Linked DNA regions of Sus scrofa. The protein of the gene in region 1 interacts with the protein of each later gene in a biochemical or structural test. Links are inferred from orthologs where the notes say so. Each region holds a gene or a part of one and is shown in the gene's direction. Other genes may lie near its edges.

The links.
Region 2: the proteins of NRIP1 (region 1) and NR5A1 form a complex in vitro, tested with the Homo sapiens proteins (2 studies listed by BioGRID). The link is inferred for Sus scrofa from reciprocal best matches to the Homo sapiens genes NRIP1 and NR5A1.
Region 3: the proteins of NRIP1 (region 1) and THRA form a complex in vitro, tested with the Homo sapiens proteins (4 studies listed by BioGRID). The link is inferred for Sus scrofa from reciprocal best matches to the Homo sapiens genes NRIP1 and THRA.
Region 4: the proteins of NRIP1 (region 1) and ESR1 form a complex in vitro, tested with the Homo sapiens proteins (4 studies listed by BioGRID, with this or other methods). The link is inferred for Sus scrofa from reciprocal best matches to the Homo sapiens genes NRIP1 and ESR1.

Annotation. Positions count from the first base shown.
Region 1 is NC_010455.5:179,913,423-179,917,569, reverse strand, and holds the start of NRIP1 (nuclear receptor-interacting protein 1), read left to right. Parts: upstream 1-1,343; 5' UTR 1,344-2,686; intron 2,687-3,351; exon of another isoform or gene 3,352-3,680; intron 3,681-4,147. UniProt on the Homo sapiens protein: Modulates transcriptional activation by steroid receptors such as NR3C1, NR3C2 and ESR1. Also modulates transcriptional repression by nuclear hormone receptors.
Region 2 is NC_010443.5:265,308,748-265,312,918, reverse strand, and holds the start of NR5A1 (steroidogenic factor 1), read left to right. Parts: upstream 1-1,371; 5' UTR 1,372-1,649; intron 1,650-4,171. UniProt on the Homo sapiens protein: Transcriptional activator. Essential for sexual differentiation and formation of the primary steroidogenic tissues. Binds to the Ad4 site found in the promoter region of steroidogenic P450 genes such as CYP11A, CYP11B and CYP21B.
Region 3 is NC_010454.4:22,282,361-22,286,581, reverse strand, and holds the start of THRA (thyroid hormone receptor alpha), read left to right. Parts: upstream 1-1,421; 5' UTR 1,422-1,557; coding exon 1,558-1,610; intron 1,611-3,985; coding exon 3,986-4,053; intron 4,054-4,221.
Region 4 is NC_010443.5:14,488,366-14,492,424, reverse strand, and holds the start of ESR1 (estrogen receptor), read left to right. Parts: upstream 1-1,259; coding exon 1,260-1,711; intron 1,712-4,059.

The DNA of each region.
Region 1 (4,147 bases):
GCCAGCTGAAGCACTCTGTTCTCTGTAAAACTTTCCCTGAATTGCCTTACCCCACACCTGAACCCCAAGTAGAATTAAAGACTCTGTCCTGTGGCTATGACAGTATCTTGTCCAATATCTACCGGATGGCTACCGCTGGCACACACAGTGTGCCAGGGATAAGTGATGGAGGTACCCAAATGTGAACGAGAGGGATATGGCCCCTGGGGCTGTAGTACTTGAACTTAGAATGGTTAAACATCCTGTCACCAACTGGTGTGAACAATGCTCTAGCAGGACAGACTCAGGGAGCACATCATAAGCACGCCTCTCCCAGATGCCTTCTTTGTGGGGGATGAACATATTGAGCCCGAACTGTAAGTCTCTGAGCCCACAGGAACCCCAGGGTTTGTAAACCTACTTGTGTGTTTAAGTATATAAGCTCAAGGGTGTCTTTTTCACATCACGATTGGTTATATGAGAGTTGTCTTCACTACACAAATTACTGAATAGGCATTCTTATATTACATATATGCCCCAGTATCCTTGCAATGACTCTCTTAGCCAGGAAACTTAGGTATTGATTTTTTCAAAAAAAAAAAAAAAAAACAAAGAACAACAAAATAGCCCCAACACAATTAGAATGATTAAGTAAAAATGAATTCTGCAAAAGGTGTGCAATTTACTTAACACTAATGCACTACCAAAAAGAGTTCAGGATTTCAATGATTGGAGTTCTGTGAGGTTGAGAAGAGAGCTTAATAATGAGGTGAGCAGCTTTGTTAAGTCACCTAACATATTGCAGCAGACTTTTTTAACACTAGTGTTGGAGGGCAAGACCAAAACTTGATATAACCTGACTTAGGAAGTTGTTTATCTACCAACTGCAATCATCTAAAACTCTTGCTAAGAAGCAAAAAGAATATTTTCAGAGCAACAGTTGAGCGGTCCAAATGTGTCACAGAATCTATGCACTAAGGTTCATGTGCTTTACTCCTTGGTGAGCACATTAGTTCCTTCCAGGGAACCCACTCAGTTTTACTTTAGACTGTATTGTGACAAGTGAGGCTATCTGGATTCTCAGACCTCACCAGACTAGCAGCTGCCAATCAGAAGAGGAGGAGAATGTTGGAGGCAGGCATGCTGGCAAAAGAGAGAAAAGACACCAGATTGTCAGTTAGAGAAGGGGGAGAGAAACTACAACGGGCAGAGATAATCACTCAGTCCCAGTATCCCAGAGTCTTTCAGGGCAGAGACTGATGGCTTATATACCTCCTGGGAGCAGCCTTAACACCTTGGAAGAAGCCTGATAAAGAACAGGAACTGGACGTAGTTGCTAAATCCACTATAACCTACTATATAATAAACACTTTAAATAAAATTAACCCAGAATTTCGACAAAAAGCCAAACTGTTTTAGAAAACAGAAATATTTATAATACATAGAAAACATTTGTACAAGAGTTAAAACAAGTTTGACTTTTTTTATTTTTAAACAAGTTTGACTCCTTAAAGAGCCAAGCTCCAATTATGCTGATCATCACTTAATTGGAAGACTTGGCTTTGCATCAATCCTGGGTTAATGTTATGCTATAGAACAGCAGACTTTACCAAGTTGTCTTGAACAGATTTCAAACAGTGGTATATGCAAATAACAAACTATCATAAGAGGTCTAAACTGTATAAGAGGGCGACAGACTGCACAGTTGAATCAACCACCAGAGTGATGTAAAAGAATTGTTCTAAAATGCAGTATCACCATGGAGCAAAATAAACCTACCATGTACCCAGCACTGTGCTACGGGCTGGATTTAAGAATTAATTTGAAAAATTGCTTTCACTTTTCAGATTGTGAAGGTATTCCAGAACTCTCATTCATATTTGTAAAGGTTAAATGACATTTTAAATGCACAGCACAGCCATTACATAACAGGCATAGAATACTGTTTATGACTTGGATAGTTCTTTTTTTTAAGTGCACCAGCAACTCTATTTTCAAATGCTATGGAATTCACAAGGTTTCCTACATAGAAGAATGGAATGCCTCATCCACTCACTTGTTTTGTGTAATAAGTGTTTTAAAACAGGCATGCCATTTCGGAGTTTAAAGGGAGGCTAAGCTGCACTTTAGCGTTTCGGAGCAAGCAAAAACAATTTCAGCAACGGTACTCATTTCCCCCGGTAATTTTGTTTTTCATGGCGAGTTACTAAATGCTAGATGCTAGTAGTCAAAAAGAAACCTGACATCTGGGGAGGTGTTGAGGGGGTGTTAATAGTTCTAGTTAGATGTCTGGGGAGCGCTGAGGATAAGATTTTAAAACAGCAAATACAGGGAGAAAGGGGAAATTACGGTTTCGTATGACTCTCTCCTCCCTCCACTTTCTCTCTTCACCAATCCTTATCCCCCTCAATTTAGAGGCGGGTTCAGCGAGATCTGGCTGCAGGAAACCAAGAGGCTCCACCGCGCTGCCGCCCCAGCCTCGTGATGTAATTGTTATTTCTTATTCGGAGCTTGAACCAGGGAGAGCTGCTGAAGAAGTGGCAGCCCTGTGCCTTTTGCCTTGTCTGGTCGGGTCAGATTCTTCCCGGGGATGATGTAGATTCGCTGACGGACTCCGCTGGAGACTTCGCAGTGACAAAGCAGCTGAAGAAAAACCCTGCTCCTGGGTCCTCCGTCCGTCTGGGGAGCCGAACGGAGCACTCCTCAGGTCTCCTTCCCAGTTTTCCTCTGGGAGTCACTCCGCATTTAATCCCTGGGTGCCTCCTACGTGCTGGGCGTGGGGTCCAAGTGACCTGCAGTTAGTGCCCCTGTCCCCCAAGATTAAAGCAAGACACACAGATTACAAGGTGGTGGAAGTTGGGGGTGGCGAGAAGGGGCCAAGGGGACGCGTGTCCTGGGGTGAAATGGAAGGAGGGGGCTCCTGAGGCGTCAGCACCCAGGAGGGGACCCCGGGCGTTCGGGTCCCCGGGCTGTGCCCCCCAAGGCGAGCATTTGCCCTGTGGAATGAGCTCGATGCCCCGGGCCCCTGGGACGAGCTGTCCCGGCGCCTTCGGCGGTGGGGGCGGCTGGACAGAGCCGGGAGCCGCGGGGGACTGCGCGAGCGCGTGGAGCAGCTACCTCTCCCCGCCACCGCGATCCTCCCGCAGCCGCGGGTCCCCGCAGCCCCCGCCCGACAGTCCGAAGGGCGGGCTAGGAGGAAAACAGCCAACCGAGGGGGGCTCCTCGGCTCCCGCGTGCTGCCGGGACCCGGGCTCCTGCCTCCCGCCCCGGCCACAATGGGAAAGAGGGGGAGAAAAGGGTTAAGAAACTTGGCTGAAGAGCTGAATGGCGTGGAGCGGCGAGGGGAGGGACTGGGCCGCGGCGGACTCGGCGGCGGAGGGAGGAGCGCGGCTGCGGGCGGGCGGCGAGCGAGGCGCTCAAAGTCAGCCTCGCAGACATTGCAGCAGAGCCCCGAACTCGGGAGGCGGCGGCGGCCGTGGCGGCGGAGGAGGAGGAGGAGGAGGAGAAGGCGGCCGAGGCGGAGGGACGATCCGGCCCCACGCCCGCGCGCCAGCCAGTGGCCTCGCGTCTGCTGCTGCGCTCAGCAGCGCTGCTGGTCGGAGGAAAGAGCTCGCCGGGGCGCCGGGGGAGGACCGGGCGGCGGGGCGCCTAGGCGGAGTGAGCTTGCCGGAGCCCGGGGCTTGGAGCCGCGGCGGCCTCGGGTGAGTGGCGGCCGCGGCCGGGGGGCTCAGAGGAGCGGCCGCTGGCGCCGCCGGAAACGACCCGGGAGCGCGGCCCGCGGCGGCGGCGGCGGCGTTGGCAGGCAGGGCCGCGGGGGCGTCGGGGCGTCGGGCCGGGGCTGCCTGCTGCGGGAACGGACGCGGACAGCACGGTGGGCTCGGCGGCCGGGCGATGTGTGGGGGTGGTTTCCGGGGAAATCCTGCCTCTCCTGCGGTGTTCGAATCTCCCCGGGAACTCGGGGGGCCCGGGCAGCGGGGCCGCAAGTTGGGGAGTTGGCTCCGGGCTCACTGGCGGGTCCGTGCGGGTCCTGGGCCGTGGGGCGGCCGCCTGGTGGCCCCGGAGCCGGGCCGGATACTGGGGGTCCGGGCCAGGGTCGTGCCCTGCTCGGCTGCTCTCTCGGCCCGGAGCCCTTCTCGCCTTGCAGCTCTGGGTCTCGCCGCCCCGGGCG
Region 2 (4,171 bases), on another chromosome or scaffold:
GAAGGCACATTTTTTGTTTGTTCGTTTGTTTGTTTTTAGGGACTGCAGGTGAGGTATGTGAAAGTTCCCAGACTAGGGGTCTGATCAGAGCTGTCGCTGCTGGCCTTCACCACAGCCACAGAAACGCAGGATCTCAGCCGCATCTGTGACCTACACCACAGCTCACAGCAATGCTGGATCCTTAACCCACTGAGAAGGGCCAGGGATAGAACCCACATCCTCAGGGATACTAGGTGGGTTTGTTTCCACTGAGCCATGACGGGAACTCCCGACATACTAGGTTTTAGATGTAGTTGGCTTTAGTTTTACAAAAGTCCCTCTCATCCCTGCCATATAAAGGAGGTGTTCTTTCTATGTGATTCGCCTGTTTCCGCGAATGAAGGGGGTTGTGCGTGGGTTCCACGTGGTGTCCCTGTTCCCTTTCCACCCCCTAGAACCAAAGGCTGGGAAGTAAATCCTCCAAGAACAGAGATGTCTTTCCTTTTCTTCCCTTTTCTCCAGTGCCTGGACCAGTGCCTGGCACCTAGTGTGCCCTCAGTGAATGTGAGATGAATGAAAGAATGCATAGAAGAGTGAGCCACCAGGGGAAGGGTGCAGAGCAGAGCATTTGGGCCCTGTGGGACCTGCACCTGTCTGGGCCTGGAGATGGGACAGGGACACCCTTAGCTGCGTGGGGAGGCCCGGCCTTCTAGACAAAACCCCCTTCCCTCTGCCCTGCCCCACCTATTCTGCTCTAGCTACCCATTCGCCCCACCACCCTGGGGCCACTGTAACCAACCACCTGGCCCCAGAGGCGGGTCTCAGCCCAGCCTCACCCCTCCCAGCCATTGACCAGAAACAGCAGCAGCCTGCAGTGGATGGAGACATTCAGAGAAGCCAACGTGGAAAGGGCACACGGGAGGCATTCATTCAGCTCACCTGCTTGTCTTCTGTCCCCCTCTTCCGTTCCTCACCTTCTGGAAGAGTAAAAAGACCAGGCCAAAGCAGCAGGGCCACCTGGTCAAGTCATCCATGCCTCTGCCTCCACGCCAGCCCGACCCGACTCCACTCTCATGTCTGGGCCAGGCTGGACCCCCGCTGGGCCAGGCCCCAGGGAGGTAGCCTTTCAAGGGGAGAGAGGCCCGGGCTGCAGGCCGGGTGGGGGAGCTGCCCATAAATCAGGCCCCACTCCCACCCAGTCGCTAACAAGCGGGGCTGGCTACCCGCCTACGTGGGGTCCCTGCCTCTGGGCTCCCACAGCGGCCTGGAACAGCCAGCTGGCCAAGGCCTCCAGAGTGCCTTGGCCTCCGCCCCCACCCGCGGCCCCGAGATAGATAGGGGTATTTTTTTTTTTTTCTTTTAGGGGAAGAAAAAAAAAATAGACCCAAATGAAGAGAAACACCAACAAAGAAGGAGAGAGGCCTGCAGAGTCACGTGGGGGCAGAGACCAATTGGGCCTCCGGTGGCCCCCCCACCCAGGGCGGGGAGGAGGAGGAGGAGGACGGACGGACAGGGCCAGCCTACTGTCCGCCCGCCGCCCGCTGTGGCGTGAAGGAGTTCTTGTGTGCCCACGGTCGCCACTGCCCCACCTGGGCTGCTGGAGCTTCCCCTTGGAGCCCCCGGTGCCCACTGTCCACCACCATCCAGCGTGAGAGCTCGCCTTCCGCTCCGTAAGTGAGGGCCTTGGCCCAGGCCTCTAATGGCCAGCCTCCCTCCTCAGTGCCTCCCTGCGGCCTGGGCCGGCCACTGCCCGCTCTGCGGAGTGACTGGTGCCCGCTGCTCTGGGCAGGGAAGGGGCCAAAGATCTCCCCAGACCTGCCTTCCCTCCATGCTTGCCCCTCTTCTCTCCTGGGTGGCTGATGGGAGGAGCTAGGCCTATGAGGACAGGCCCCACGGGGGTCTGTGGGTGTCCTGCTGTCTATGGGTGGCCTGGAGTTCACAGGGCTGTGTTGACTCAAGCCTCTTCGTCTGTGAGTGTGTCCGTGGTCCCTGGGTCTGTCTGTGGGTCCCTGGGTCTCCCTGCCTGCAGGTCTGTGCTGTCTCTGTTGATGTCTCTGAGTCTCTGTGTGGATTCACGCGTCTGTCTCCAGTATCCATCTGTCAGTCCAGGTCCTGTGTCTGGGCTGGGACTGTGTTTGCTTCCCTGGGTAGGTGGGTGAGGGGCTGTGAATCCCCCACATGTTGAGCTGGAACCTGGGGCTAGGGGCTGGTGCCTTGAAGCCTGGAGGATCAACCCACGAGCTCCCAAACTGTGACGGTGGAACCTCTGGCAGAGGGGATCTAGGTGGAGAGACAAGGGGAGAACTGGCTCAGAGCCCAGTCCCCACCCCACCTAGGCCCCCAGCCCAGGCTTGGGCTTCCACTGCCTGGGTCTGCCTCACCAATGTCCAGGAGACCCCAGTGGGCTCCTTCCTAGAGAAGCTGATTGGGGATCCCCCAGCCCAGGCCCCTGCTTCCCTTCACTCTGCTGCCAGGTGGTGCTGCTCCTCTTTTCTACTTTCTGAGGGCCCTCCCTGAGGGGTTCAGAGGCAGTAGCCCCCACCCCCAGCTCAGTTACTCTTGTGCCTCAGGGGCTTGGTGGGGGATGGGGAGGGGTCGTGCAACTAACTCTCTTTCCTCCCTCCTCACCAAGACTGGTCCCTGGACTCGCAAGGAAACTCCCACTGGAACGCTTCTGTAGGGGCTGATCTTTTCCATTTTGTATATGGAGAAACCGAGGCTCAGAGAAACGAAGTGATCTGCCAGAGCTGGCATCGAGAGTCGGCCGCAGATTCTGCCCTCCATTCCGCCGCGTGAGGGAGATGAGAGTTGGTCTGTGCCGGGTCGTGGGGCCTCAGATCGCAGGACCAAGGCACCAGCTCCTAGCAAAGCTAGAGGCCCAAGGGGGAGGGAGTGGGGGTGGGCTGGGGTGGGGGCGATGCAGGGGCCCAGACGAAGCCAGCCGCAGCCAGGGTCCCAGCCTTCAGATCTGGGCCCCTCCGTCGGCTGCGTCGTTGCGAATACAAAATTGTGATATTTCCCGGCTTGTAGATGGCTTTTTGGCTTCGCTGTTCTCAGCACTCTCTAGGACCATAGATGCCCAACGGGGCAGGAGCAGGATCCGAGCAGGCGACCTCCCCCACCCTAGAGCAATGGTTCAGCTCCTCCCGGCTTGACCCCGGGAACCCCTTTTCCCCCGGGGGGCTGCAGAGCACTCACTTTCCTGCCTCCAGCTCCGGGTAAGAGCGTAGAACAGGAGAGAGGGCTTTCTCCTGCCCCTGGGCTCTGTTTTCCCAGCTCCCGCGCCCTTGGTGGCTTCGGGTCCTCACCAAACCTCAGAAAACCCGCAGGGTGGGATTACCACTACTCCCACTTCCAGCCAAGCAAACTGAAGCTCAAGGAGGAGAAAGAGTTTGCCCCAGCCCTCCCAAATAATTGGACGCTCTCGATCGTTCCGCCGTGCTAGGCATGTGCTCTTTCAACTCCACTTCGGTTCATCCGACCACCTTTAAAGAAGTCCAGTCATCCATCCCACTTTACGGATGAGGACACTGAGGACGAGGAAATTTGCTTCAGTTTCCAATGAGGAAATGTGCCTGGACCAGGCGAGAACCCACTTTCTAGCCTTGAACCCGTGCCTTGGCCACGGCCACCCACGCTTGCTCTACCTACTTCCACGCTGCAAACCGACCAGCGCCCGAGCGTGGTCCCGGCCACAACTAAGCTGGATTTGCAAACAGGGACTCGCCTCCTTTCACCGCAGGCGGGTGGCCCGAGGCTCCCAGACGCCCAGAACCTGCTCGGATTCCGGGGTGCTCGGATTCCGGGGCGCCCGGGCTCCGGGAGCCGGGCTGGGGATGAGGGGCCGAGAGGGTGAGGGTAACGGCGCGAACCCGGCTCGGTGGCGGCGGAGGGTGCGGGCCGGGCCTCAGCCCCGGGATACCGCACGCGCCCAGATAGAGGGGCCGGCCCCTGGCCCCGGCGCGGCGGGTTCCCGCAGCACACACTGGCGGCGGAGGGGCCAGGGTCCCAGGTGCATCTCCGAGCGGCCCTGGAGGCGGCGGGGGCGGGGAGGCGGGGTGGGGGAGCGCCGAGGCCCCGCGCCGCCAGGCCCGAGCCCCCGCCTCCCCGCCCCCGGCCCGAGCGGCCGTCATCGCGGGCGGGCGGCGCTGCGCCCGGGTGCGGCTCATCGCCGGCGGCGGCGCGGCAGGGC
Region 3 (4,221 bases), on another chromosome or scaffold:
GCAAGGTCTCTGGGGAAGCAGCCACAGGAGGGAGGTTGTGTGTGGGGAGCTGCGCCTCTTGGCCCCTCTCACGTGCCCACACCTGCCTGGGTGGGCAGTCACCGAGCCTCAGGTGTGTAGCCTAGGGTCAGAGGTGCAAACCTGGAGGGAATGGTCGGCCCAGGTGGGCGGTGCCCTGGACCCCAGCTGGCAGAACAAAGCTAGCATTGGCGGCAGGCTGTTTGCAAGCTGTGTGAACTTGAGTGAACGGGCAAGCTTTCCGAGGCTTCTTTTTCTCACCTGCGAAGTTCTGATGCCCACCTGGGTGGACATATACTCTCTATTCCCTTAATGCCTGTTGGTTTCCTCTCGCCCTCCCTGTCCATCCCAGTGGGTGGCAGCTCAGCTAAACCAACTGGGAAGTCTGGTCCTCAGACTGGGAAGTGTGACTTGGGACCTTGTATGGGAAGCTCCTTGGGGGGCCGGGGTTGGAGAGGCCTAAGTCGGCCAGCAGCAGGGGAGGTCGGCTGGCTGCTCTTTTCAGCATCCCTCTCCATTGAGGCCCTCAGGTGGGCGCTCACACTTCCTTCACCGGGACCCCCCCCATGCCTGGGCTGAATGAAAGCTGCTCATCTCTGGTCACTTCTTCTTCTTCTTTTTTTTTTTAAGGGCCACACTCTCAGCACATGGAGGTTCCCAGGCGAGGGGTCCAATCGGAGCTCCAGCTGCCGGCCTCCACCAGAGCCACGGCAACACGGGATCTGAGCCGCGTCTGCGACCTGCACCACAGCTCACGGCAACACCGGGTCCTTAACCCACTGAGTGAGGCCAGGGATCGAACCCGCCTCCTCATGGATCCCAGCCGGGATCGTTAACTGCTGAGCCACGGAGGGAACTCCATCTCTGGTCACTTCTTTCCCTGTGATACTAACGACACCTTGGCTGAGGGGTGGTAACAAGGGCTGATGTGTAATAGACGCGTATGAAGGGGCCAGGCCCTTGCTTGACTGTGAGGCTTGAGACGTGCTACGTGGATTACCTCATTCTTTCCCTCCATCCCTTTCCATGTCTGGGGACCGGGATGTGAATCTCCAGCCTTGCCTGCTGTCTGTCGAGCCGAAGGGCTTCCCGGTCCTCTCCCGATGCCTGCCCTCCCTCCATGCCTACCACCATCTCGTGATAAGCCCCAAGAGCCCAAAATGTTGGCGCCGAAGGAATCCTATTCACCTCCTCCCACCACGGCGCCGCCTTATCCCTGCCTCTCTCCTCTCTCTGCAGGGACCTCCGGACAGGACAAGATTCCGAAGCTACTCCCCCAGCCCAGGACCCCCCCCACAGACTCAGCTTGCCCCCCAGCCCTACCACCTGCCACTCCCTGGCCCCCTTCTCACCGCCCGCTCCCCCCTTGGGGTGCAGGGCATGGTGTGAAAGGCCAAGTGCTGAGGCGGGCACCATGGGTGCTGTGCCCTAGGGCCTGGGTGGCGGGGGGTGGGTGGCCTGTGGGTGTGCCGGGGGGGCCAGTGTGCCCACCCCAGTCTCTTGGCGTGCTGGAGGGCATCCTGGATGGAATTGAAGTGAATGGAACAGAAGCCAAGCAAGGTGGAGTGTGGGTCAGACCCAGAGGAGAACAGGTAATGGGTCCGGCAACTAGGTGTCGTGCAGCAGTCGCTGGGCTGGGCCAGAGAGCACTGAGCTTGGGCCTTTTAGCACCCCTGGGGGGATGGGCCTGAGGCCGGCAAGCCTGCTGCCTACCTTTGCCCAGGAGATGAGGTCATGTTCCCATGTGGCTGGGAATTAGGCACCTGGAGGGAGAGATGCCCGTTTTGAAAGGGGGAGGGCGTGCAGCACAGAGTAATTACAGGCAGCAGGCATGCGGCCCCTCCCTTGTCAGTGCTCGGAGTCTCCAATGCCCCCCAGCTTCCCCTCAGCCACCCTCACCTGAGCATGTGGAATCCAAACAGCCTGGCCATTTTCCTCCTCTCCCTCCCAGCCTCTTCACGTCTGACCACTAGTGTGAGGTCCAGAAGCCATGGTGCGTGTGACATGGCATTTCAGGGCACCATGCACCAGTAACTGTTGATCACAACTCACGCTTATATTTGGAACATATTGGGAGCCTCACAAGCTCTTCCTTGTTCATGGGCAAGGGCGGGCAATGCCATGGGGCTCCTCCCAGGAAGTGGAAGTGAATGCCAGCTCTGAAGATTTGCTCCCACGTGGAGGAAGCATCAGCCCTGCACACACAGCTGGGGATGGGTTCCCTATGATCCGCATTGCGCTTCGGGCGTCCAGAGGGTCTCTGCCTCTCCCATCAGTTCCAAGTGGCACAGAGCTCGGTCTCAGTTGGCGTGGTGCCTTGGGAGCTGGGTACAGCCTGTGCCTATGGCCAGGGAGAGGGTGGGGGAGGGGTGCTCTGGGGAGCAGTGTGGCCGTTGCCTAGGAGACCAGATCCTGAGCCAGGAGGCCGGAGGCCTGGCCAGGCAAAGCCCTGGGGCCCAAGATTGGGTCCCTGGAGGGGTGGAGGAAGTGGATGGGGCTGGCAGTTGGGTAGGGCAATGGGGGTATCCCCCCCTCCCCAAGCCTCACCCCAGGGGGGCTCTGAAAAAAGATTTGGCCTGTCATCGTGAAGCTGTCACTTGCAGCCCCTGTTCTTTCCCGCCCACACTTCCATGGGTCTGGGAGGGTCGGCTCCTAATTCAGAGAAAGGCGGGAATGCTTAGTTCCTGTCCCCCAGGACTGCAGCCCCTCCCCGTCAGCCTCCCCTCCCCCATGTCCCCGCGCCACCTTGTGGCTGTCTCTGGGACTGCACCCAGAGGCTTTGCGTCTAGCTAATTGCTAAAGACCCGCAGCTCAACTGGGCTGGGGGAGGTCCCCTACACCCACCCCCCTCCGGAGGCAGGAGGGGGAGATGTGATTCTCCAACCGGTGTAGAAACCAGACCGGGTAATCCCCAGGGGATGTAGAGCACAGAGCTCCCTGTGACTGTGACCCTGGCCAAGGTCACTGTGTCAGTGTGCTGGGAGCTGCATCAGGCTGGGGAGTCGGGGGTAGGGCCCTGCAACATGCCACACACAGGGTGGGGGCGGGAGGTTATACAATCCGTGTGTGCATGTAGAAGGCTTATGTAACCTGTGTGTGCCAAGGTTATGTAACACGTATGTGGGGAGGCTGGCGACATATGTGTGCAGGGGCTGGGGGGTTGCTAACTCCTTATTTGGCGAGGCTTGGGGTCCTTGTCGCGGCTCTGACTCTAGCACACAGTGTCACCAGGCACCAGTGGGGCCTGGGTTTACTGCTCTGTTAAATGGAGGCCGTGGACAGAGTGGCCGTGGAAGTCCCCTCCTTTTCCCATATTATACTTGGTTTAGGTTCTAGTGGGCCACTGTGGCTGTGACCTGAAAATCAAGCGACATGTTCACTGGCGGGGGGAGGGGCATGGTATTATTAGGTGCCTGTCCGGAGGGTTGTGTAACACGTGGGCATACCCTAGAGGTCATATAACACATTTGAGAAAGCCCTGAAAGTCGCATAGATAGAGATGGTAGAGCCTGCTGCTTATTTAACTGTGCTTGGGTTTAAACGGCAGGCGGCGTAGCTCTTCATATGCGCTAGTCTTACGGTGCAGATGTACGTGTGTATTCGAAAGCTTGCATCGCTTTAAGCCCGTCCTGAAGATTCTTTCTGCTTGTGTGTCATGTACTGAAAGCTTAAATAGGTGGCTATCTTAGAGACGATGGGCGCCGAAGGTCCTGTAGCGCGTGCTCATGTGTGTATATAGGTGGGGGCCCTAGATCATGCTTGTGCCCCAGCCGAGCCCCTTATCTCTCACCCAAAGCTTCTAGATAGCCAGACCTTTTCCAGTTTTGTCAGCTGACCTGGGGGTGGGAGGTAGAACGAGGACCCGAGCTGGAGGGAGTCGGGCCTGGGGGAAGACCTCAGCCTGTTGAATGAGAAGGGGGCTGCCCAAGGACTGCTCTCTGATTCTGCCCACTTTGCCCCCATCCAGTGCCAGGTCACCAGATGGAAAGCGAAAAAGAAAGAACGGCCAATGTTCCCTGAAAACCAGCATGTCAGGTGAGCCTGGCTGCGTGTGCTCTTCCTCCCCACCCTGAACCCCAGCAAACCAGGCCAGGGCTCTTCCGGGGCCTGGGCGTGCACCCGCAATTCCTGTGTCCCGTGGGAAGAGCCTCTGAGAGAGCTTGGGAAGGATGTGTCTGGGATGAGAGGGGAGATGCGAGGCGC
Region 4 (4,059 bases), on another chromosome or scaffold:
TCAGTTCAGAACTTTTTACTATTTCTTTTCCAATCTGAATATTTGATTCTGCTTATCCTAGTCCAAGTGAACCAAGAAGGTCCAATTGTAGGATAAAAGAACAGACATGTATCATTGCATTTCAAAATGTGTTTGGTGAGACCAACAGTGTAGATTTGGTTAATGAGCCGAGGTTATGCTTTTTTTCTGGAAAGGTCACATTTCATATTCAGTTTTCTGAAGTTTTGGTTGCATAATCTGTGGAAGGCATGAATACCCATGTCCGCCTAACGGGAGGTTTCTGTAAATCGTCATTCACATTAGAATTCCTGATGGGAGCAAGTACAGTACTGCGGCCAAAGACAAACAGACAAGTCGGGCTGGGGGAATCTCAGATAGTCTTGGCTGGAGGGGATGACTTTGGGAGAATTTTGCAGATGAGGAGAACTGAGCTGGGCAGCACTCCCCTGACTGCAAAACGCAGCTCTTTCTATAGTACACCTTGAGTCTCCGCCCCCTTTCCCCCAGATGCCTCTTATCTGTCCCCCGAGCTGCTAAATATAGCCGTCTGCCTATGCACCCGCACACCCCATTCTATCTGCCATATCTCGGTTACAGAGTGGTCCTCCCCAGGGTCATTCTCTGTACACACTCCGTATTTCCAGCCAACGAGGAGCGTGAATCCAACAGAGAGAGAGACAAACAGAGATAGATTGGAGCCTGGCACGGGGCACATAAGGTAGCACGTTCGAGAGAGCCGGCCCCTGGATTAGTCTTCCGAGTTTGTTTTAAACCCCGTCATCTCCGGACCACCTTTAGGAGATCCCTCTGCGCCTCCGCCCTCCTGCAGTGAAATGCAGCCTCTATCCAGCAGCGACAAGTAAAGTAAAGTTCAGGGAAGCTGCTCTTTGGGATCGCTCCAGAACGAGTTGCGCCTGGAGTGATGTTTAAGCCAACGTCAGGGCAAGGCAACAGCCCCCTGGCCGGCTTCCAGCACCTTTGTAATGCATATGAGCTCGGGAGACCGGTACTTAAAGTTGGAGACCCGGGCCCGGGAGTTGGCGGAGCGCGCTCGCGCCGGGCTGCACTTGCTCGCGTCCGGCCGCCCCGCTCCCCGGGACGGGCCGGCTCCCGGGGCAGGGCCAGAGCTCGCGTCGCGGCGGGACATGCGCCGCGCCGCCTCTAACCGCGGGCTGTGCTCTTCTTCCAGGTGGCCGGCCGGCTGCTGAGCCCTCCGCCGCGGGGGGAAACGGTTTGCGCCTTGCCCGCGGCCACTGACCATGACCATGACCCTACACACCAAAGCGTCCGGCATGGCCCTGCTGCACCAGATCCAAGCCAACGAGCTGGAGCCCCTGAACCGCCCGCAGCTCAAGATCCCCCTGGAGCGGCCCCTGGGCGAGGTGTACGTGGACAGCAGCAAGCCCGCCGTGTATAACTACCCCGAGGGCGCCGCGTACGACTTCAACGCCGCGGCCGCCGCCTCCGCGCCCGTCTACGGCCAGTCGGGCCTCGCCTACGGCCCGGGGTCGGAGGCGGCGGCGTTCGGCGCCAACGGCTTGGGGGGCTTCCAGCCGCTCAACAGCGTGTCTCCGAGCCCGCTGGTGCTGCTGCACCCGCCGCCGCAGCTCTCGCCCTTCCTGCACCCCCACGGCCAACAGGTGCCCTATTACCTGGAGAATGAGCCGAGCGGCTATGCGGTGCGCGAGGCCGGCCCTCCCGCCTTCTACAGGTACCCGCGCCGCCCGCCGCGCCACGTCGGGGTGGCCGCCGCGCACCCGGCGGCGGGAGGGAGCGGGGGGCGAGGGGCCGCGCCGCCGGGAGCTCGCGGGGCCCGCAGGCCGCGGGGCTGGGCACCCGGCAGCCCGGCCGCCGCCGGCGCCGCGGACGCGCGACCCGAGGGCTAGGGCGCGACCCGGCCCAGGGTCACGGGTGGATCTCGCGTTCGAGAGTCAAGTTCTCCGGCCTGGCAGCTTAAAAAAAAAAAAAAAAAAAAAAAAAATTTCTACTCTCCACCCCGCCTACTGTCTGCGTGAGAAGCAGGTCCGAAACCCCGTGTGCTTTCCAACTAAACCAGTATTAGAAAACCGTGCAAAGCAGAGGTTATTTGTGGGGAGAAACGCCCCAGACCAAATAAGCACAAGGTGCTTTGAGTCCCTAGAAAAGGTCCCGCTTTGGCTGTAGGTGTTGGGGCAGGCGGAGCTCAGAGTTTTCTTTTTTACATAGTCTTATTATTTTACAAATTTGTTTTAACGTGCTTGCAAAATTTCCTTTCACCTAGAATTTCGGATTGGCTATGTGCACGCTGTGCCGCTGGTGAGCTGGTGATGGTGATGAGGGGGTGCTCATTTCCTTGGGAAGCGGTTCCTAGCAGCCCTTTGCTTGTCCTCCCTGTCCCACCTCCGAGGGAGGCTGTAGGACTGACCGAGCGCTGCTCAGATGAGCAAGGGTTGAATGGGTCTCAAGGAGTTTCTGATTTCTGAGTTATCTGGCGGAGTCCGTGTCAGAGCAGCTTGCTGGCAGAAGACTTCTGACAGCCGGAGATTTATAACTGTCCTGTGAGTTAAAAACATGCCACATCGAAGCACGAGTGTTTTGAAATACTTCCCTGCCAGCTAAGTTTCATTTCTGGCCTGCGGGGCTGAGAATGCCCTGGGAGTGGTGTGTATGGGTTCAGCCCAGTTCTGTGCCTTTCATTCTCAGGAGAAGCAACAGATAGTTAGTCGTTCAGGATAGACAGGAACACTTTTGTGACTTAAGAGGCAAGTGTTTTTTGTCCTATTTTTTTCCCCCTAGTAGACCCTATACTTTCCTTTGCTCCTCTTCCTCCCATTTTCCCTTTGACAGTTTCTCCCTTCTCTTCCTGATGGACTTTGCAGAGGGTTTAGGCAGGGGGTCCTGGTGGGTACCTGCACCCTAGGTGCTGCTGGACAGGGATAGCCTGGGTGGGGTTGGGAGGCCTCCCAGCACCCTGGTGGCTGGATGCTGGGTTAGGCACTGCCTGGCTGGACACTGCTGGTGTGTGGACGTGCCCTCCACCCTCACCCAGACCCTTCTGTATTGCAAGCTGTGGGCCGTTTTTCTATTCAGCATCTATTTCCAGAGATATTTATAGCAGAAGAAACGGGAGGAAGGTGCATCGTGGCCCTAGAGAATTCTGGAGGCAGCCGCTGGGGGTATCTGAACATCTGCCACATCCTTCAGCCCCCTCAGAGGACCTTAGAATGTCACACAGCCAAGCAGGTCCATCCTGAGTTATTACTTAAAACACAAACAATGAACAAAACTTTAAAAAGTTGGCCTCTATCGAATCATTTTAACTTGTTTTCTGCAGGGTTAAAATGGAAAGAGAAAAAGAATTTATTCTGCCCGCTTTTTTTAAGTGTTAGAATCAAATATGACAATTAAATCTAATTCACACAACATTTTAAACTCCTTGATGTGAAGGAAGGCACTGATAGGACGTGAATTCCATAACCTTATGGTAGACTCCAGAAACAGTTTTCTTTTCCATTTAATTTTCAGTTCTTTTCTTGCAAATTAATGCCACTGAATTTCAATGGACACTAATGAGACTGCTTCTCAGTGGATTATTTACTGCCCTGCTAATAATTACAAAGTGAACATGGTCAAATAAAGAGGGGAATCACATTTTATTCAAAATTGTTCAGCATCCTGGTGGCAAATAATATCACTATAACATGCCCATCTTAAACTTTCTGCATTCGATGATATTCAGATATTTTTAGAATAATAAAAAAGTGATATGGAACTTTCAACTCACCCACATTGGATTCTGTGTGGAAATTCAGTTTTAGAATGATCATTCTCCTTTGTAGTTTATTTCCCATAACATCCATCCTTCCTTTCTTTTCTTTTCTTTTCTTTTCTTTCTTTGAATTCCGCCTCTTATTACCCAAGAAAGAGGGGAAGGATCTATAAAATAAGTTATTTCAAATGGAGAGATGTTACTTCATATTTTTTCCCCTCTCAGTTTTGCTGTTTGAATAACTTTTGGTAAAAAAGAAAAGAATTCATTGGACTCTTTTAGGAAACTTTAATTTTCTTCAGTACTTATCA